Linked DNA regions of Macaca fascicularis. The protein of the gene in region 1 interacts with the protein of each later gene in a pairwise test. Links are inferred from orthologs where the notes say so. Each region holds a gene or a part of one and is shown on either strand. Other genes may lie near its edges.

What was found.
Region 2: the proteins of UBE2I (region 1) and TRIM21 interact in a two-hybrid assay, tested with the Homo sapiens proteins (2 studies listed by BioGRID). The two-hybrid records come from large-scale screens. The link is inferred for Macaca fascicularis from reciprocal best matches to the Homo sapiens genes UBE2I and TRIM21.

What each region holds. Positions count from the first base shown.
Region 1 is NC_088394.1:2,050,581-2,061,292, reverse strand, and holds the start of UBE2I (SUMO-conjugating enzyme UBC9), read right to left. Parts: upstream 5,427-10,712; 5' UTR 5,153-5,426; intron 4,936-5,152; exon of another isoform or gene 4,798-4,935; intron 633-4,797; 5' UTR 622-632; coding exon 556-621; intron 364-555; coding exon 280-363; intron 1-279. UniProt on the Homo sapiens protein: Accepts the ubiquitin-like proteins SUMO1, SUMO2, SUMO3, SUMO4 and SUMO1P1/SUMO5 from the UBLE1A-UBLE1B E1 complex and catalyzes their covalent attachment to other proteins with the help of an E3 ligase such as RANBP2, CBX4 and ZNF451.
Region 2 is NC_088388.1:69,998,914-70,009,580, forward strand, and holds the start of TRIM21 (E3 ubiquitin-protein ligase TRIM21), read left to right. Parts: upstream 1-5,023; 5' UTR 5,024-5,070; intron 5,071-8,273; exon of another isoform or gene 8,274-8,277; 5' UTR 8,278-8,309; coding exon 8,310-8,717; intron 8,718-8,992; coding exon 8,993-9,088; intron 9,089-10,203; coding exon 10,204-10,434; intron 10,435-10,667. UniProt on the Homo sapiens protein: E3 ubiquitin-protein ligase whose activity is dependent on E2 enzymes, UBE2D1, UBE2D2, UBE2E1 and UBE2E2.

The DNA.
Region 1 (10,712 bases):
CTGCCACAGCTCAGCCCTGTGCCCAGCCTGCTTCCTTCTCAACCAGAAATGCCCTCGGTGGGGACACAGCTGTCACCCCAACCTTGCCAGCACCACCTTCTGAGCTCAAGTCCGCACGGGGCGGGGGCCAGGCCACAGCTGGGGATCTGACCTGTTGTCCGCAGCCCGTGACAAGGGCGGCCGTCACAGACGGCAGGGGCTGAGCAGTTTCCCTGTGGCGTTGCCACACGCATCTGTTGAGCCCCGACAGGCAGGAGGCTAGCAGCGCGCGCCTCTTACCCCTTTCTTTCCTGGAATGGCGCACTCCCAGTTCATGAGGTTCATCGTGCCATCGGGATTTTTTGTTGGGACAGCCACGAAACCCTGAGAGAAAACAACCACAAAAGCACATCAGTGCGGTGGCATCTCGTTTGACCAAAACCACTGAGAACCGGCCCGCGAGCCCCACCAGCGCGACCCAGGCACGCGGCCAGCTCCCTCCCAGTGGGGGGGGGCACGGTTTCAGCCCAGGGGGGCCGTCCGCGGCACTGCACACGGAAACGAAGCCCTCCTTACAAACGGGTGGTCTTTCCTCCATGCTTTCCTCTCCTGGGCGAGTCTGCTGAGGGCGATCCCCGACATGTTCAGAGTCCCTGGAACACAGGAGGCAGAGCACGGGGTCAGGACAGGCTAGCGGGCTCCTACCGCCCCGCCACGTGCACACGGCCCGCAGTGGGCAGTCTTGCTCCTAACAGGCGCCAGCCCAGCCCAGCAGAGACTCTCCTCCTGGAAGCCGTCGTCCGACCCCGGGGTCTACCAGGGGAGGCCTCATGAGTGGATCCCAGATCACCGGGGGTGGGGGGGCAGGTAGGACCCCTTCCCCATGGGCCCCCCGAGCCCTGGTCTGCGACACGTGCCGTGGCCTCTGCTCCACGGTGGAGACGGATGTTCAGAGGCTGGGCCACTGTGGCTGGGCGGTAGCTGCCACCCTGTGGTGGCTGGCGTGGCAGGGTCCTCACTGAACCGTCAGGTGGGGACTAGGCAGGGCTGGGTCCCCGCCTTACTATCAGGCGCTCAGAACTGAGACTCAAGCCGGGCCAGGGGGACACCTAATATTGTTGTTTTTTTTTTTTTTTGAGATGGAGTCTCACTCTGTCCCTCAGGCTGGAGTGCAGTGGCACTATCTCAGCTCATTGCAACCTCCGTTTCTTGAGTTCAAGCAATTCTCCTGCCTCAGCCTCCCGGGTAGCTGGGACTACAGGCCCCCGCCACCATGCCCGGCTAATTTTTGTATTTTTAGTAGAGATGGGGTTTCACCGTGTTGAAGACAGAGTGGAACAAGTACCACAGGGCAGAGGCTCAGCCTCGCTGAAAGAGGAGCCCCCCACAGGGCCACCGTTCCCGGACCCTGCAGACGCTAGCATGTCCCTGTGGCTTCAGGGGACAGACGGGTCCTGTGGGGCAGGGCAGGAGCATGGGGTACGGGACCAGGTCCCTGGTCAGAGGCAGCGGCACACACGCCAGATTCCAGCTCCACACTTCTGCACGGGACCTCAGGGGCTTGGCACCTTTGCCTTCTGGTTCCCAGCGGGAGCCTGTCGGCCCGCACTGTCCCCGGGGACACCAGGCAGACAGGGCCAGCAGCCTCGACACCAGCCTCACCTGTCACCCTACTGGTGGTCACCTTTACCATGAAAAACAGCACTCAGGGCACAAAACCTGCCAGAGAATTCAAACCCAAGTGTGTGCTGGTTTTCAAAGTCCACGGGAACACTGAAGCTGCCTCCAAGTCTGGCATCTCAGCGCCAAGCAAGGGCCACCTCAACAAAGCTGGGGGCTGCGCCAGGCCTTCCAAACTGTGGGGGGGCCGTCCCTACAAGGGCCCTGGTGACCTGGATGGCGCCCGCACCTGTGCAGGCCCACGAACCTCACACACCTCACAGCTGCAGGGAGGGGCCAGGTCAGCAGCTCCGCCTGGGCCAGAGCCGCCGCAGCCTCACCTGGCACTTGTTAGGGAGGCAAGGCCCAGTCCCCAGCAGACTCATTGAGGAAGGAGCTCCGAGAGGCCCACATTCAGGTTTTGGGCGGCGCGATGGCTTCCCGAGGCAGCAAATCAGAAATCAGGGGTGGGGCTGGGATCAAGGAAGCCCAGGCGGGTCCAGTGTCGCCAGGGAACCAGGGTGCTGGAAGCCAGGCGGGGCTGCTAGAGCCGCCTGCCCTGCAGGTGGATTTGGCTCCTTTTTAACCAAACACGGATCCTCAGGGCAGCCTGAGAAAAATCAGGCAAAGGAACCCGGGTCCTCCAGTCAGTAGGTGCTGGCATCACAGCGAGAGGGTGACAGGGGCCATCCAGGTACTGGCCTCCAGCTACACGATTAAGTCCAAGACAGGTAGCCCCAGACTGGGCCCCACCGGGATGTCCCTCCCCATACCCTCCTCACAGGGATGCGGAGGAGCCCGCAGGCCGCCTGCCCTCTGGACCACTTGCCCATCCCCATGCCCTTCTCTAAGTGGGGGTGGGGGGAAGCCAGGGGCCAGAAAGGGAGAAAGTGGGGGACACAGCTGGGCTCAGCTGTGGGCAGGCAGGGTTCGAGCCCAGAGTGGAGTGGAGCTCCCGCCAACCACGGTTTCAAGGCTCTCTCTGCACGTGTCTCCACCCTCCACTTCCACATGGAGCAGCTCAGTTGTGGCTTGAGGACTCACAGCTCTCGCTTCCCCAGCCCCAGGGTGGGCTTCATGAGTAGCCACAGCCTGTGCCTGGTGCGGTGCAAAGCAGCCTGGTGAACGGCCGTTTTGAGGAGCCACGACCTCCCAGGTGCCCGGGGTCTGAGCGGGGCCAGGAATCAAGCAGGTCTCTGAAGCCCCAGGCCAGTGCTCCAGACACTGAAGGACCATGGCCAACACGATCCTCACAGCCAGGCAAGGCCAGGCCCCAGAGAGGCCAGCCCCAGAGAGGCCAGCCAGGCCTGGGACCCTGCCACAGGTAGCCCTCCTACTGAAGACCGGACAGAGCCACCTAGAGGCCCCCGTCCCAGCACCTAGCTATTGCTGTCTCAGATGTGAGAAGTCGTGAGGGTGCTCCTGTGAGACCTCCCGCCAAGGTCTGGCTGATGCTGCTGTATCCCCTGCCCCAAAGCACTCAGCACCACGGGGTGGTCTCACAGGAAACTGCACCACAGGGCAAGGAGCCACAGGTGCACACCCACCCTGTCCTAGGCAGAAGCCAGGCCCCTCCCCCTGCTCCCCCTCCTACTGGCCTCCTGGAGAAAGTGGCCAATGTGTTACAATGTAATCACAACACAGACGAAGCATTCAAAATCCCGCTGAAAATCGAATTTGCCCTTCCAAATTAACAGATAAGCACTAAGTGAATGGCTAGCAGTTACTAGACCCTTCAGAGCAGGGAACTTATATGAGGCAAAGACAAAAACAACCCTCATCTATCAGAGCCAAGCAAGGCCCAGACACTGCAGCAACCAGGACAGGGCCAAGCACTCCAGGAGTGGCCTGAAGGTCTGCCTTCTGTCCTGCTGGGCACCCGCGACCGGCTGAGCTTTAGCTTCTCGGATCACCACCTTGCTCTGCTGGTTGACAGCACCGACTTCCGAGCAACTTCCTGGCTGAAGGTGAGCAAAGCACTCACCTCTCACAACTCCACCGCACTCATCTCCACAACGGGTGGTCGCCACGACGGCTGGCACAAGAAGCCTGTAAAGGTCCTCCTGCACCCAAACGCAAACTCTCCCAGGCTTGGGGAGGTATTCCCTTCTGCAAGACCCAGGCACCTGCAGTCAGGAGACGCTCACCTGGCCGCACCTGATCTGCCCCAGGCCCCCAGAATGTTTCTGAAGCAAGATCCCAAACCCTGACACATCACACAAGCGCACACCTTCAACCACCCAGTGGTCTAGGGAAGGGACCTCTGAAGGAGCAATCAGGACAAACTCAGGTCCCGTCCTGTCTTCCGCTGCGCAGCTTCTCTACCCAAACGCAATGTTTCTTGTTCTTCAAAAAACATTCGGCGTAGGTCCTATAAAAGGAAACAAACCGAACTCCCCAAAGACAGGCACTTTGCAAACAGAGAAACAAAGCGTAACTTCCAATTATAAAAACGAAACCACTTCATTCTGCGATTCAAGCGTGACTACAGGCCACGATCACAAGCCCAGCTAATCACTCCCTTACCTTCCTCCCACGCACGTTAACTACCAGAGCCAACCACTATTCAACCGGTAAAAACCCATCCCCAAAACAATAAAACTCCCTCCAGCGAGGCGCTCACGTTCAGGGCCCCAGCAAGCGCCAGGGCAGCATCTTCAGAGGCGCAGGAAAACTTAAGACTTGTTTTGGTTTCAAGGCACCGAAAACAAGCCCGCTCGCCGGCCCCCACCCCCGCGAGCCAGCGGTGTTGCAATCCAAGAGTCTCCCCCGCGACCCATCCCCTCCGTCCGCGGGGCGACAGTGACCCCGGAAGCCGCTCCCCGCGCAGAAGGAAGGCGCGGCCTCGCGGGGCCCCGGCTGCAGGTGGCTGCCCCGGCCCCGCGCCAGGAGCACCTCGGGGGCGAAGTGGGGGAGCCCCGGCCCCCAAGGCCTGCGGCGGCCGGGGCGCTCGGGCCGCAGCCCCGCGGCGCCAGCAGCGCGGACCGAACCGGCGCCGAGCGTGGGGCCTCTCGGGCTCCCCGGGAAGCTCGGCCGCGGCGCGGGGCCCGGCTCGGCGGGGCGGGGCGCGGGGCAGCCGGGGGCCCGGGCCCGACAGGAGTAGAGGCCTCGGCCCGACCCCCGCCCCGCGGCCCCGGCCCGGCCCCCGCCCGCGCTCACCTCGGGCGGCCGCGGCCCCGGCGAGCGTCGCGGACAGGTGGAAGACCGAGCGGGGCGGCGGCGGCGGCGCTTCCCTTTGTCTCGGGACTTCCCTCCGGAGCCCGCTCCGCGCGCAGCCCGAGCAGCTCCGAGGACCCTGGCGCGGGCGGGGCGCGCGGGGCGGGGCCTGGTGCAGGGCTGCCCTCTGCACGCCTGCCTCGCGCGCTGCCACCGCCGCCCGGCCCCGAGCACCGCCCGCGCCGCCGCGCGCCCCCCGCTGCCCGTGCCCCGCCGCCGCGCGCCCGCGCCCCGGGTCCGCCCCAGGAGCCCGGCCGGGGGGGTGACTTTTCAGTCAGGCGGCGCCCTGGACACCTACGCCCTTAAAGGAGCCGCGTCCCCGATGTGAGGGAGCGTCTGTAAACTCCCCTTCGGGGTGCCCGCGTCCACCCGAGGACACGCCGGCGAGCAGCGGGGGATAAAGGAGGCCGAGATCTCCAAAAGCTCCCCGGATGCCCGGCGGTCACCTCTCCAGGCACAGGTCTCCGAGGTTTCCTTGGGGTCAGAGCCTGGGGCCGGGGGGCAAAGACCACTGAGGCCTAAGGATTCCCAGAAGCGTCGCAGGACGGTGACGCTCCCGCGAGTTCAGCGCCCTGTGAAACCTCTTGCAATTGGCCATTTCTGGGCGGTGGGCGGAGAGACCTTCTCATCTGCCCAATGAGCCGACCCCGTACAAAAGGCCGAAAGCGAGCATGACCGACGGGAGGAGAAGTGTGGATGCTCCCTAATCCGGGGGCGGGCCCTGGGCGGGGGCGGGGCGTGGGGAGACTACGAGCGGCGGGGGCGGGGCGAGCCCTTGGGGGAGGGGCGCTTCCGGGCAACAGCCCCCCACCCCCCGCCCACGCAACTCCCGAGACCGGTCGAGAGGCCCCCAGCCCCGCGAGCGCGCGGGATACTCCGTTCGCCAACGCGCGGTCGTGCTGGCCCCGGGGCTCTCCCGGTCCCCCCGCCCCCCATTTCGCCGACGGCGGGGCCGCCGCCAAGGTCACGGTGTCCGGGTGCTTGGGGACCGCGGGGACTGACCACATTCATTCATTCCCTCCCTCATTCATTCATTCCCTCCCCCACTCACTCATTCCCTCTCTCCCTCATTCCCTGCCTGACTCATTCATTCAATCCCTCCATCACTCAATCATTCCTTCCCTCCCTCACTCATTCCCACCCTCATTCATTCCCGCCCTCATTCATTCCCGCCCTCATTCCCTTTCGCACTCATTCCCTCCCTTACTGCTTCATTCATTCCTTCTCTCCCTCACTCATTCCCTCCTTCATTAATTCCCACCCTCCCTCATTCCCTCCATCATTCATTCCTTCCCTCCCTCACTCATTTCCTCCCTCATTCATTTGTTCCTTCTCTCCCTTACTCATTCCCTCCCTCACTCATTCATTCCTCCCTCCCTCATTCCCTCCCTCACTCATTCATTCCCTCCCTCACTCATTCCCTCCCTCACTCATTTCCTCCCTCGTTCATTCGTTCCTTCTCTCCCTTACTCATTCCCTCCCTCACTCATTCATTCCCTCCCTCCCTCATTCCCTCCCTCACTCATTCATTCCCTCCCTCACTCATTCATTCCCTCCCTCACTCATTCCCTCCCTCCCTCACTCATTCCCTCCCTCCTTCACTCATTCCCTCCCTCCTTCACTCATTCCCTCCCTCCCTCCCTCATTCCCTCCCTCCCTCATTCCCTCCCTCACTCATTCATTCCCTTCCTCACTCATTCCCTCCCTCACTCATTTCCTCCCTCCTTCACTCATTCCCTCCCTCACTCACTCATTCCCTCCCTCCTTCACTCATTCCCTCCCTCACTCATTTCCTCCCTCACTCATTCCTTCCCTCATTCATTCATTCCTTCCCTCCCTCACTCATTCCCTCCCTCCCTCATTCATTCCCTCCCTCACTCATTCCCTCCCTCACTCATTTCCTCCCTCCTTCACTCATTCACTCTCTCCCTCACTCATTCCCTCCCTCCCTCATTCCTCCCTCCCTCACTCATTCCGTCACTCATTCCCTCCCTCACTCGTTCCTTCCCTCATTCATTCATTCCTTCCCTCCCTCACTCATTCCCTCCCTCATTCATTCCCTCCCTCACTCACTCATTCCCTCCCTCACTTATTCATTCCTTCCCTCGCTCATTCATTCCCTCCCTCCCTCATTCCCTCCCTCCCTCATTCATTCCCTCGCTCACTCATTTATTCATTCCTTCCCTCCCTCACTCATTCCCGCCCTCACTCATTCCTTCCCTCACTCACTCATTCCCTCACTCATTCATTCCTTCCCTCCGTCACTCATTTCCTCCCTCATTCATTCATTCTTTCCTTCTCTCACTCATTCCCTCCCTCCCTCATTCATTCCCTCCCTCACTCATTCCCTCCCTCACTCATTCATTCCCTCCCTCACTCATTCCCTCCCTCCCTCATTCATTTCCTCCCTCACTTATTCATTCCGTCTCTCACTCATTCATTAATTCCCTCCCTCACTCATTCCCTCTCTCACTCATTCACTCCCTCCCTCCCTCACTTATTCCCCCCACCGCCTCCCACAGGGTCCCCAGCAGGCACTCCCCCGGCAGGGACCCGCAGCAGGAGGGGCGGCCACGCACCCTGGGTCCGCCTGCCCAGGAGGCGTAGCCGCAGGGGTGGGGGTCCAGGGCAGCAGGGGCGGCCTCCCCCAGACTCCAGGCCCTGGGACCTGCACACAGCCCTGTCCCACCAAGACCAGCACGGGCCTGGCCTGGCTGCGCATCCCAGGCTCAGAGCCACCGTGGCCTGTCTGGACACCTGTTCTCCCGGCCCCCAGCCTTGAGGTCCTGGGAATCTGCTTTTTTTTTTTTTTTTTTTTTGTGAGATGGAGTCTCACTGTGTCGCCCAGGCTGGAGTGCAGTGGCACCATCTTGGCTCACTGCAACCTCCACCTCCCGGGTTCAAGCGATCCTCCTTCCTCAGCCTCCCGAGTAGATGGGATTACAGGCGTGCAGCAGCACACCTGGCTCATTTTTGTATTATTATTAGAGATGGGGTTTCACCATGTTGGCCAGGTTGGTCTCAAAACTCCTGACCTGAAGAAGTGATCCTCCCGCCTCAGCCTCCCAAAGTGCTGGGATCATAGGCATGAACCACCGTGCCTGGTTGAAATCTGCATTCTTTTTTTTTTTTTTTTTGAGACGGAGTCTTGCTCTGTCACCCAGGCTGGAGTGCGGTGGCGAGATCTCGGCTCACTGCAAGCTCCGCCTCCCGGGTTCACGCCATTCTCCTGCCTCAGCCTCCTGAGTAGCTGGGACTACAGGCACCTGCCACCTCGCCCGGCTAGTTTTTTTCTATTTTTTTTTTTTTTAGTAGAGACGGGGTTTCACTGTGTTAGCCAGGATGGTCTCGATCTCCTGACCTCCTGATCCGCCCGCCTCGGCCTCCCAAAGTGCTGGGATTACAGGCTTGAGCCACGGCGCCCTGCCGAAATCTGCATTCTTAACCAGCACCCTGGGCAAGCCTGGCGGAGGGATATGGCCCTTTGGCTTCCTGGCATGGGCTAAGTTTCCAACGCCATCTTTCTGGCGAAGATGCCGGCACAGGGCTGTGTGGGGAGCTGTCAGTCAGTAAAGACCATGGTCGAAGGAAAGCAAGGAGAGCCATGGGCCTGGGCGGATCCCGCTCCAGCCTCAGGCACAGAGAGGGCAGGGCTGGCGACGTGGGGGGTTTGTCATAAGTGGGGCTTGAGGAGACTGACTGGATGTGGTGTGTGGCTGGGGAGGGCCTGGGCCTGAACCTGTGGGCCATGGGAGCCATAGAAGGTTATGGAACAGGAGAAGCAAGATAAGGCCCTGGTTCCCTGTATGTGGTGGTGAGGGATTGAGGAGACATGGCTCAGGTGCTCAGAGAATTCTCGTCCTGGTGGGAAGTAGTGCCGGGAGGGGCTGGGGTTTGGGGAGGCTGTGGCAGGTGGGGGCGAGGGGCATGGAGCAGGCGGGGGTGAGGGGCATGGAGCAGGCGGGGGAGGGGGACATGGAGCAGGCGGGGGCGAGGTGCATGGAGCAGGCGGGGGAGGGGGACATGGAGCAGGCGGGGGCGGGGGACATGGAGCAGGCGGGGGCGGGGGGCATGGAGCAGGCGGGGGCGAGGGGCATGGAGCAGGCGGGGGCGGGGGGCATGGAGCGGCGGGGGCGGGGGGCATGGAGCGGGGGGGGGGCGGGGGGCATGGAGCGGGGCGGGGGCGGGGGGCATGGAGCGGGGCGGGGGCGGGGGGCATGGAGCGGGGCGGGGGTGGGGGGCATGGAGCAGGCGGGGGCGGGGGGCATGGGGGGGGTGAGGGGCATGGAGCAGGAGGGGAGGGAAGAGGCTCCCTCAGTTGTGCATCCTCAGCCCAGAAGTGTTCTTTGAGCAGCCTGCACTTGGCACACGTGTTTTCAAAGAGAGGGGACCTGTTGGGTCCAGCTTCCTGGGTACAAAAGAGAAACCGAGGCTTGGAGAGCGTGGGGGGTTTGAATCAGTAACTATACGATCCTGGGCAAAGCTTGTGGCTGACTGTGCCAGGCACGCGCCCACCTTTGCCGCGGTCCCCTTGGGAGGGGAGCAGGAAGTGTGATGAGGACCCCCAGTGTCCTGGGTGCCCCCTCTGGGGCCTGCTGGGGCCAGGCTCTGCACGCAGGGGTTTGAGAGCAGAGGCCACTCCCCCAGAGGAAGAGGGGCCTCTGCAGTAGAGTGAAGGTGGACCCTTACCCCGGAGCAAGCACAAAAACCAGCTCAGAAGTCAGCCTCGGACCAGGCGCGGTGGCTCACGCCTGTAATCTCAGGTCTTCAGGAGGCTAAGGCGGGCGGATCGCTTGAGCTCAGGAGTTTGAGACAAGCCTGGCCAACATGGGGAAACCCCATCTCTACTAAAAATACAAAAATTAGCCGGGTGTGGTGGTGCACACCTGTAATTCCAGCTACTTGGGAGGCTGAAGGAGGAGAATCTCCTGAACACGGGAGGCAGAGGTTGCAATGAGCCGAGATGGCGCCACGGCACTCCAGCCTGGGCGACAGAGCGAGACTCCCTTTAAAAAAAAAAAAAAAATCACACATCTGAGAAGGAGTTAATATCCAGGATAATAGGCTAGGTGGGGTGGCTTACGCCTGTAATGCCAGCACTTTGGGAGGCTGAGGCGGGCGGATCACTTGAGGTCAGGAGTTCCAGACCAGCCTGGACAACATGGTGAAACCCTGTCTTTACTAAAAAATACAAAAGTTAGCTGGGTATGGTGGTGTACACCACCCCAGCTCCTGGGGAGGCCGAGGCACGAGAATCGCTTGAACCCGGGAGGCGGAGGTTGCAGTGAGCTGAGATCGTGCCACTGCACTCCAACCTGGGCGACAGAATGAGCTCCGTCTCAAAAAAAAATAAAAATAAAAATAAAAATCTGGGATATAGAAAACCCCTACATCAATAAGAAAATGGCTCTGGAGGGCTGCGTGTGGAGGCTCACGCCTACAATCCCAGCACTTTGGGAGGCCAAGGTGGGCGGATCACCTGAGGTCAGGAGTTCAAGACTAGCCTGGCCAACATGGTAGAAACCCGTCTCTATTAAAAATACAAAAGTTAGCCGAGCATGGTGGCGGGCATCTGTAATCCCAGCTACTCGGGAGGCTGAGGCAGGAGAATCACTTGAATCCGGGAGGTGGAGGTTGCGGTGAGCTGAGATCATGCCATTGCACTCCAGCCTGAGCGACAGAGCGAGACAGCGTCTCGAAAAAAACAAAACCGCAGTGGCTCACACTTGTAATCCCAGCACTTTGGGAGGCCGAGGCAGGCGGATCACGAGGTCAGGAGATCGAGATCATCCTGGCTAACACGGTGAAACTAGAAATACAAAAAATTAGCCAGGCGTGGTGGCGGGCGTCTGTGGTCC
Region 2 (10,667 bases), on another chromosome or scaffold:
ATGGGCACCTAGTAACTCACAGAATCATCACTGAATCCATGCCTTATTATGAGACCCTTGTTCTTCTCTACCCCTCCCAACAATGGCTTATTCAGTGCCTGCAAGAAACACGAAGGGTCTGCAGGGATGTGAAGCAGTCATTTTCTGAGTGTCGGCAAATTCAGATACAGGTCTCCTTCATTTGTTGTGGTTGTTGTGGTTGTTGTTTTATTCTGTTTCCATTCTGCTTTCTGGGATTCTTCATGTTCCTGGAATCAAATCTGAGTACAGCAGTACAATATGAACCTTAGCTGTCACCTGATAGCCTTTCAATGAGCAAAAATTCTCTTAAGAGAACTGGAAATATCAAAGCATGAAGTGTTTTTCAGTTTTCTAAATCCATAATCAATATCAAGGAAAGTTCAACTGATGTTTTTACCTTACATTATAAGAGATAAAAATAAATAAAAAGACAGGATATCTGAGTTGGAATGTGTTGAGAATTCTAGCCTCTCCAAACTTCCTCCTCTTCTCTGAAGTTCATGGCTACATCCCTACCAGCTGCCCTACAGCGTCTGCTTAAACCGACAGGGCAGTCTGTTTTCTCTAGGATATCATTAAAATGAGGGTCTTCCCTGGACCTTTAACTCTCATGCACCTATGTCTATCTGTCACCACAAGCCAGTCACTTCACTCCATTTAGCTTCAGTGTCCTCCCCTGTAACACAAGTATGATAACCTCAAAGTCACCCAATGGTTGTGTGGCTTAAACAAAATATAACCTGACATAGCAGCATTATTGACAGTAACCAAAAGGTAGAAACAACCTAAGTGTCCACAGATAAATACATAAACAAAATGTGGTATACATTTCCCCTCCTTTTGAAAAAGGTAGGAAATTCTAACACATGCTATAACATGGATGGACTTTGAGAACTTTGTGTAACTGTAATAAGTCAGTCGTAAATGAACAAATACATTATAATGCCACTTATGAGGCACCTAGAATAGTCAAATTAATAAAGAAAATAGAATGGTGGGTGCCAGGGGCTGTGGAGGAGGACAAAATGAGGAGTTGTTGTTTAATGAGTGTGGAATGTGGTTTAGGATGATAAAGTTCCGCAGGGCTGGGCACTGTGACTCATGCCTGTAATCCCAGCACTTCGGGAGGCCCAGGCGGGTGGATCACGATGTCAGGAGTTTGAGACTAGCCTGGCTAACGTGGTGAAACCCCATCTACACTAAAAGTACAAAAATTAGCCACGCATGGTGGTGGGCATCTGTAATTCCAGCTACTCAGGAGGCTGAGGCAGAATTGCTTACACCTGGGAAGTGGAGGTTTCAGTGAGCCGAGATCGCGCCACTGCACTCCAGCCTGCATGACAGAGCAAGACTCCATCTTGGGAGGAGAAAAAAAAAAGTTCTGAAGATGAAGATGGACGGTGGTGGTAGCAGCACAATAATATGAGTATACCTAAAGCTGTTGAACTGCACACCTTAAAAATGGTTGAGGTGGCTCAGAGATAAAAGGATGGTTCAGCATACACATCAAACAAGGTGATACATCATATCAACAGAATGAAGGACAAAAACCATATGTTCATTTTAACTGATGCTGAAAAAGCATTTGGTAAAATTCAACATCACCATTAAAAAAAAAAAGCTTGGCCGGGCGCGGTGGCTCACGCCTGTAATCCCAGCACTTTGGGAGGCCGAGGCGGGCGGATCACAAGGTCAGGAGATCGAGACCACGGTGAAACCCCGTCTCTACTAAAAATACAAAAAATTAGCCGGGCGCGGTGGCGGGCGCCTGTAGTCCCAGCTACTCAGGAGGCTGAGGCAGGAGAATGGCGTAAACCCAGGAGGCGGAGCTTGCAGTGGGCCGAGATCGCGCCACTGCACTCCAGCCTGGGCGACAGAGCGAGACTCCGTCTCAAAAAACAAAACAAAACAAAACAAAAAAAAAGCTTGAAAAACCGAGTGTAGAAGAAATATACCTAAACATAATAAAAGCCATATATGACAGACCCACAGCTAATATCATACTGAATGGGGAAAAACTGAAAGCCTTTCCTCTAAGATCTGGAACAAAACAAGGATGCCCACTTTCACCACTGTTATTCAACATAGTACTGGAAGTCCTAGCTACAGCCATCAAACAAGAGAAGGCAATTAAGGGCTTCCACAATAGGAAGGAAGAAGTCAAATTATCCTTGATTTCAGATAATATGATCTTATATTTGGGAAAGTCTAAAGATTGTCATTTCTAATAGTTTTTTGAGGAAACAAATTCAGAAAACTTGTAGAATACAAAATCAACATACAAAAATCAGTAGCATTTCTACATGCCAGGAGCGAATAATCTGAAAAGAAAATAAAAGTAATCTCATTTACAATAGCTACAAGTAAAATTAAATACCTAGGAATAAACTTAACCAAAAAAGTGAAACATCTCTATAATGAAAGCTAGAAAAACATTAATGCAAGATGTTGAAGAGGACTCAAAGAGTTTTAAAAAAAAAATTCCACGTTCATGGATTAGAAGAATCACTATTGTTAAACTGTCCATAATACCGAAAGTAATCTACAGATTCAATGCAATCCCTATCAAAATATCAATGACATTCCTCACAGAAATAGAAAAAAAAATTCTAAAACTTATATGGAATTACAAAAGACCTAGAATAGTCAAAGCTATCCTGAGCAAAAAGAACAAAACTAGAGGAATCACATTATCTGACTTCAAATTATACTATAGAGCTATAGTAAACAAAACATCACCGTAATGCCATTTAAAAAGACACATAGACCAATAGAAAAGAATAGAGAACCCAGAAACGAATCCACACATCTACAGTGAACTCACTTTCAACAAAGGTGCCAAGAACATACAATGAGGAAAGGACAGTCTCTTCAATAAATGCTGCTGGGAAAACTAGATATCCACATGCAGAAGAATGAAACTACAACCCTGTCTCTTACTATATATAAAACTCAAATCAAAATGGATTAAAGACTTAAATCTAAGGCCTCAAACTATTAAACTACTACAAGAAAACACTGGGGAAACTCTCCAGGACATTGGACTGGGCAAAGATTTCTTTCAAATATCGCATAAGCACAGGCAACCAAAGCAAAACTGGACAAATGAGATCACATCAAGTTAAAAAGCTTCTACACAGCAAAGGAAACAATGAAGTGGAGTGACAACCCACAGAATTGGAGTAAATATTTGCAAACTATCCATCTGACAAGAGATTAATAATCATAATATATAAGGAACTCAACTCTATAGGAAAAAAATACAATAATCTGATTCAAAAATGGACAAAAGATCTGAACAGACATTTCTCACAAGAAGACATACAAGTGGCAAATGGGTATGTGAAAATGTGCTCAACACCACTGATCATCAGAGAAACGCAAATCAAAACTACAATGAGATATTATTTCACCTCAGTTAAAATGACTTTTATCCAAAAGAAGGGCAATAACAAACGCTGGCAAGGATATGTAGAAAAGGGAACCCTCATACACTGTAAATGGGAATGGAAATTAGTACAATCACTAAAGCGAACAGTTTGAAGGTTCCTCAAAAAACAATTAAAAATAGAGCTACCATATGATCTAGCAACCCTATTGGATACTGCTAGATATATACCCAGAAGAAATACTGTTAGATATATACCCAAGAGAAAGGAAATCAGTATATCAAAGAGATATCTGCACTCCCATGTTTACTGCAGCACTATTCACAGTAGCCAAGATTTGGAAGCAATATAAGTGTCCATCAACAGATAAATGGATAAGGAAAGTATGGTACACATACACAATGGAGTACTCTTCAGCCATAAAAAGAAGAAATTTTCATTTGCTACAAGATGGATGGAATTGGGGATTATTATGTTAGGTAAAATAAACCAAGCACAGGCAAACAAACAAACAGTTATGTTCTCACTTGTTTGTGGAAGCTAAAAATTAAAACAATTGAATTCATTAAGATAGAGAGGATGATGGTTACCAAAGTCTGGGAAGGGTAGTGGGGCAAGGGTGCAGGGGATGATTAATGGGTTCAAAAATACATGACATAGAATGAATAAGATCTAGTGTTTTATAGCATAACAAGATGAATAGAGTCAATAATTTATCATTTTAAAATAACTAAAAGCATGTAATTGGATTGTATATAACACAAATGATAAATGCTTGAGGTGATGGACAGATACCCCACTTACCCTGATGTGATTATTACGGATTGTATGCTCTACCTGCATCAAAATATCTCATGTACCCCATAAATATATACACCTACTATAGACACACAAAATTGAAAATTAAAAAATTACTTTGGTAAATTTTATATTCTGTATGTTTTACGATTAAAAATAAAAATAATATAACCTGAGAATGTCCCTAGCTCAGTGACAAGAACACAGTTGATTGTCAAATGTCAATTCCCTTCTCACCACTCACTGGTGGGACACTTACCTTGGGGTCATGTGAAATAAATCACTCACCTGCAAGTGTTAAAAAAATATTAGTCACATCAGTCACATGAAAATAATTAGCTTCTGGAAGTAAGCAGATGGTGGCACGCGAGGAAGAGCACCGGCCACTCCTCTGCATCAGAAACTTCCTTAAAAGCAGCTTCCAGACATGCACATAGCATCTAGGTGTGGGGTGATGACCAGTGTCAAAGAAAGTAGCCCGGACTCCCCCGTCATGTAGATATTTTACCAAACCGGATAATGAAGACATGGGAGGGAGCGCGCACCCAGGACCACGGGCTACTGAGTTTCCACTCCTTACCAGTCTCAGAGAAGCCCCCTGGGCGTCCAGAGCCTCTGAAGCCTCCCCCAGTCCAACTCTGACTTCTCTCCTCTCACCTCTCTACCTTCTCTCCTCCCACCTCTCTTGCTTCTCATCAGCATTTCTCCACACAAGGCTTTCAAGGCTCTGCTCCTCCCACTGCTCCTCCCTCACTCCTCCCACTCTCCTCCTCCTCCCTCCCCTTTCCTCTCAGACTTGCCTCTGAGCGGAAACTGAAAGTGAAATAGGGAGCTGGCTACCAGCGTTGAGTCCCCTGTAAAGGTGAGTGAACCCCACTAGATCAAGGGACCCCTGCCCTCCTAGGGGACCTCTCTCCCCTGCCCCAGGGTTGCCCAGCCCCTTCAATCAGTCTCCATCCTTGAGCCGGTCCCATTTGCCCCTTCTCGCACCAGGGATCCCTCAACCCAAGACCAGCTGTGCTTCCGGCGCTGGCCCCCTACCTGGGAGGAGGCTGGGGTGTGGACATGACTGCCGAGTTACCCAGAAGGGGAAGGGACCCGGCTGCCCCCTTCCTGGGAGGAGGCTGGGTTGTGGACGTGACTGCCGAGTTACCCAGAAGGGGAAGGGGCCCGGCTGCCCCGATGCTGGCACGTGACCTGGGATGAAGGCTGGGTGCGGCTGGGAGAGCCAGGACTACAGCCTAGCCAGGACGGGTAGGGAGCTCATGTCGGGGAGGTCTGCAATTCTGGAGATTCCCAGGTCCAAAAGTCCTCCAGAGGTGAGAGGGGAAGGCTGTTTAGGATGTTCAACCAGAAATGTATTCAAAATTATTCTTTGCCCTAGAATAAGTGTTGTCAGGAACTAAACTAAGTTTGGAGCAGCTGAGAAAAGAGCCCAGGGAGTGCTGGCCACAGTTCCTGTTGCTCTGTGTGTATACATACATATACACATGCTTGTGTATATACGTATACACCTACATACCTATATACACCTGACATCTGCCGTTATAGGAAGTATTAATGAAGATATATTCAAAGCATGAAGTATGTCTGGCACATGGAAGGTACATGGTAAAAAGTAGCTATAATTTCTCAGCAGCATGGAGGCCTGTTGGTACCAGACAGGAGATGAATGAGCACTGAGGGTTTAAGCAGGAATGGACATGATGAGAGTAGAACTGTCAACAGCTTTATGAGGTTCTTGCCAATTTTCACTCCCTCTTTTAGGGACTTAGTGTCTCCTTCTGTCTCACTGGATCAATGGACCAACAATGGAGGAGTTCTTGTTATTCAGAACAAGAATAAACTTACTCAACAAACTATTTGATCGGTGTAAAAGTAATTACTGTTTTTGACATTAATTGTTTTGCCATTAATTTTATGCCTTTTATTTATTTATTTATTTATTTATTGAGAGGAAGTCTCACTCTGTTGCCCAGGCTGGAGTGCAATGGCAGAATCTCGGCTCACTGTAACCTCTGCCTCCCAGGTTTAAGCAATTCTGCTGCCTCAGCCTCCTGAGTAGCTGGGATTACAAGCGCCCACCACCACTCCCAGCTAATTTTTGTATCTTTCGTAGAGACGGAGTTTTACCATATTGGTCAGGCTGGTCTTGAACTGAACTCCTGACCTAAGGTGATCCACCCACCTCAGCCTCCCAAAGTGCTGGGGTTGCAGGTATGAGCCGCCGTGCCTGACTCATTATTTTTATTTTTCTTTTTTATTTTCCTTTGTGTCATTTTGTTTTTCTTCTTTTTTTAGTTTATTTTTAACTTTTGTGGGCACATAGTAGGTATATTTATGGGGTATATGGAATATTTTGATACAGGTATACTATGTGTCATAATCACATCCGGGTAAATAGGGCATCCATCACCTCAAGCATTGATCATCTGTGATACAAACTATGCAATTATACTCTTAGTTTTCAGTGTACAATTAAATTATTGACTATAGTCACTCTATCGTGCTATCAAATACTAGATCTAATTCACTCCACTTTTGTACTCATTAACCATCCCACCTTCCCCAACACACACACACCCTCCCTGCTACTCTTCCCAGCCTCTGGTAACCATCTTTCTATTTTATCTAACTCCATGAGTTCAATTGTTTTAATTTTTAGCTTCTACAAATGAGTGAGAACATACAATGTTTGTCTTTTGGTGCCTAGCTTATTTCACTTAACATAATGACCTCCAGTTCCATTCATGTTGTTGTGAATGACAGGATCTCATTATATTTTATGACTGAATAGTACTCCATTGTGCATATGTACCACATTTTCTTTATCCATTTATCTGTTGATGGACACTTAGATTGCTTCCAAATCTTGGCTATTGTGAAACATGCTGCCGTAAACGTGGGAATGTAGATATCTCTTTGATATACTGATTTCCTTTCTTTGGGGTATATACTAGCAGTGGGATTGCTGGATCATATGGTAGCCCTATTTTCAGTTTTTTGAAGAACCTCCAAACTGTTCCCTGTAGTGATTGTACTAATTTACCTTCCTACCAATAGCGCGTGAGTGTACCCTTTTCTCCACACCCTCCCCAGCATTTGTTATAGCCTGTCTTTTGGATAAAAGGCATTTTAACTGAGATGAGATTATATCTCATTGTAGTTTTGATTTGCATTTTTCCGATAATGATGTTGAACAACTGTTCATATGCCTGTTTGTCATTTGTGTGTCTTCTTTTGAGAAATGTCTATTCAGATCTTTTGTCCATTTTTGAATCAGATTATTATTTTTTTTCCTATAGAGTGGTTTGAGTTCCTTATATATTCTGGTTATTCACCTTTTGTCAGATGGATAGTTTGCAAATTTTTACTCCAATTCTGTGGGTTGTCTCTTCACTTTGTGGATTGTTTCCTTTGCTGTGCAGCGCCTTTTCAACATGATGTGATCCCATTTGTCCAAGTTTGCTTTGGCTGCCTGTGCTTGTGGGGTATTTGAAAGAAATCTTTGCCCAGTCCAATGTCCTGGAGAGTTTTCCCAATGTTTTCTTGTAATAGTTTAATAGTTTGAGCCCTTAGATTTAAGTCTTTAATCCATTTTGATTTGATTTCTGTATATGGTGAGATATAGGGGTGTAGTTTCATTCTTCTGCACGTGGATATCCAGTTTTCCCAGCAGCATTTTTTGAAGAGACTGTCCTTTCCTCATTGTATGTTCTTGGTACCTTTGTTGAAAATGAGCTCACTGTGGATGTACGGATTTGTTCTGGGTTCTTTATTCTACTGGTCTATGTGTCTGTTTTTATGCCAGTACCATGCTGTTTGGGTTACTTTAGCTCTACAGTATAATTTGACATCAGATGATGTGATTCCTCCAGTTTTGTTCTTTTTGCTCAGGATAGCTTTGGCTATTCTGAGTCTTTTGTAATTCCATATAAATTTTAGGATTTTTTTTCCTATTTTTGTGAAGAATGTCATTGGTATTTTGATAGGGATTATGTTGACTTTTTGTTTTTCTTACACAGACTTTCTCATATTTTCTTTTCCCTTTCTTTTTCCTCCCAGCCAGCCCTACTAAAGGGCTTAACAGTACGCTTGACAATGGCTTCAGCAGCACGCTTGACAATGATGTGGGAGGAGGTCACGTGCCCTATCTGCCTGGACCCCTTCGTGGAGCCTGTGAGCATCGAGTGTGGCCACAGCTTCTGCCAGGAATGCATCTCTCAGGTTGGGAAAGATGGGGGCAGCGTCTGTCCTGTGTGCCGGCAGCACTTTCTGCTCAGGAATCTCCGCCCCAATCGACAACTAGCCAACATGGTGGACAACCTTAGAGAAATCAGCCAGGAAGCCAGAGAGGGTGCACAGGAGGAACAGTGTGCAGTGCATGGAGAGAGACTTCACCTGTTCTGTGAGAAAGATGGGAAGGCCCTTTGCTGGGTGTGTGCCCAATCTCGGAAACACCGTGACCACACCATGGTCCCTCTTGAGGAGGCTGCACAGGAGTACCAGGTGAGGCCTTAGAGACACAAACAGGAGGAAAGAAGATGGGCCCTGGTGAGTGCTTTGCTTTCAGAGCAGGGAATGGGAGAGGACCACCTCTGGATTGGAGGGGTTAGAGAAAGGAGGAGTTTACCTCTCTCCATGTCTAATGTAGAAGGAGAATTATAAGCTAAACCCAACCTCATTCTCCAGGCGTAGGCGATATGCATGAGAAAATGCTGCAAGGATTACCCCACCCTATTACTTGGTTTGCATGGGGACTAATATGCTGTCTTTCTCTGCAGGAGAAGCTCCAGGTGGCATTAGGGGAACTGAGAAGAAAGCAGGAGTTGGCTGAGAAGTTGGAAGTGGAAATTGCAATGAAGAGAGCAGACTGGAAGGCAAGAATGACATCCTGAAGGGGATCTTAGGCTAGAAGGTTGGGCAGGGTCCAGGGTCCTCAACTCACAGCCTTAACTGTAGCTGTGCCTGTCTGAGCTGTGATAGAGTTGGTCCGTCTCACTCTCCAGAAAGCACCTGCTCTCTAGGTTTACAGATAGATGGGAATAAAAATGATGCAGGTTCAAAGGGGAGCTCCCCATCAGGCCTGAAGATCAAGAATCCTGGAAGAAGGTGCTGAGAGGATCTAGCTATACCCTAAAGTTTTGAGCTCCTCTGAGTCTAGTCTCAGAGGTGTGACGGCATCAGCACCTGGATGTCTGAGACAAATATCCTAGGAGAAACCCAACTGCTAGCTAAGCCTTTCAGGAAATGACAAGGCTGTGAGAAATAGACTTAAGGAAACCATCTGACCAGGTGGTTACTTGACCATGACCAGATCTCTGGTCCCAAATATAATGAAGAATCCATGTTTGTTCTGCACTGATCATTTCCAAGGAGACGTGGAGCATGTTGGGGATGAGAGGGGAGAGGAAGGAGCCCATCCCCAGTAGATCCCAGAAAAGAAACATTTGGGATTGAGGTAGGGTGTGAGTTGGGTTGTGGTGACAAAACAGACCCTCATGTCATCGAGTGACCTTCCAGTTACTAACAGGAGATGAAAAGCAAAGAATGTCCCCAAGCCCCCTTTCCCAGGACTTGGAGGTGGTGGTGTCAGCCTGGCTTTGTGAGGTTGTTGGAGGTGGGAACAGGTGTTTTTTTTCTCAGTAACTCACTGAGACAGGAAGACACAGGGGCACATTTGAGTGGTGACTGGGTTTGGAAGAGAGGTTGGAAAAAGTCCCCAATGCCGTATATCCATGTAGCTGTGGTTGTAGGCCAGCTACAATGTGCCCTCACCAAGTCCATTCCCCTCACTGTCCCGGAAACTTCACCTACCTCCCAAGCAAAATTGTGTGTGTGTGTGTGTGCACATGCTTGTGTGTGTGTGCGTGTGTTTTCCCAGACAACACCAGAGTGGAGTCTTTGGGGAATAGGAATAGGTACCAATACCTCCATTCCCAAAGTTTGGGAGCTTTTCATAAAAACCACCTCTCTCTTTCCCTTGACACTAAAGAAAACGGTGGAGACACAGAAATGTAGGATTCACGCAGAGTTTGTGCAGCAAAAAAACTTCCTGGTTGAAGAAGAACAGAGGCAGCTGCAGGAGCTGGAGAAGGATGAGAGGGAGCAGCTGAGAATCCTAGGGGAGAAAGAGGCCGAACTGGCCCAACAGAGCCAGGCCCTGCAGGAGCTCATCTCAGAGCTAGAGAGAAGGCGCCAGGGCTCAGCACTGGAACTGCTGCAGGTGAGACAGGGAGGGGTTCCCTTCTACTATTCCGGGAATAACTGAAAAAGACCAGAGCTATCTGGAACTGCCATTCGAATAAATGGACACCTGGTCCCTGGAATGTTCTTAAATAAAGTAGAATTCAAACCCACGAATGGTTTGCATTCAAGGCACAAAGTAAAGATGAAAATAAGTATAGGACCTTTTTAAAAATCAATGTATGTTGCACTTAGAATCATCTTGCATCCACC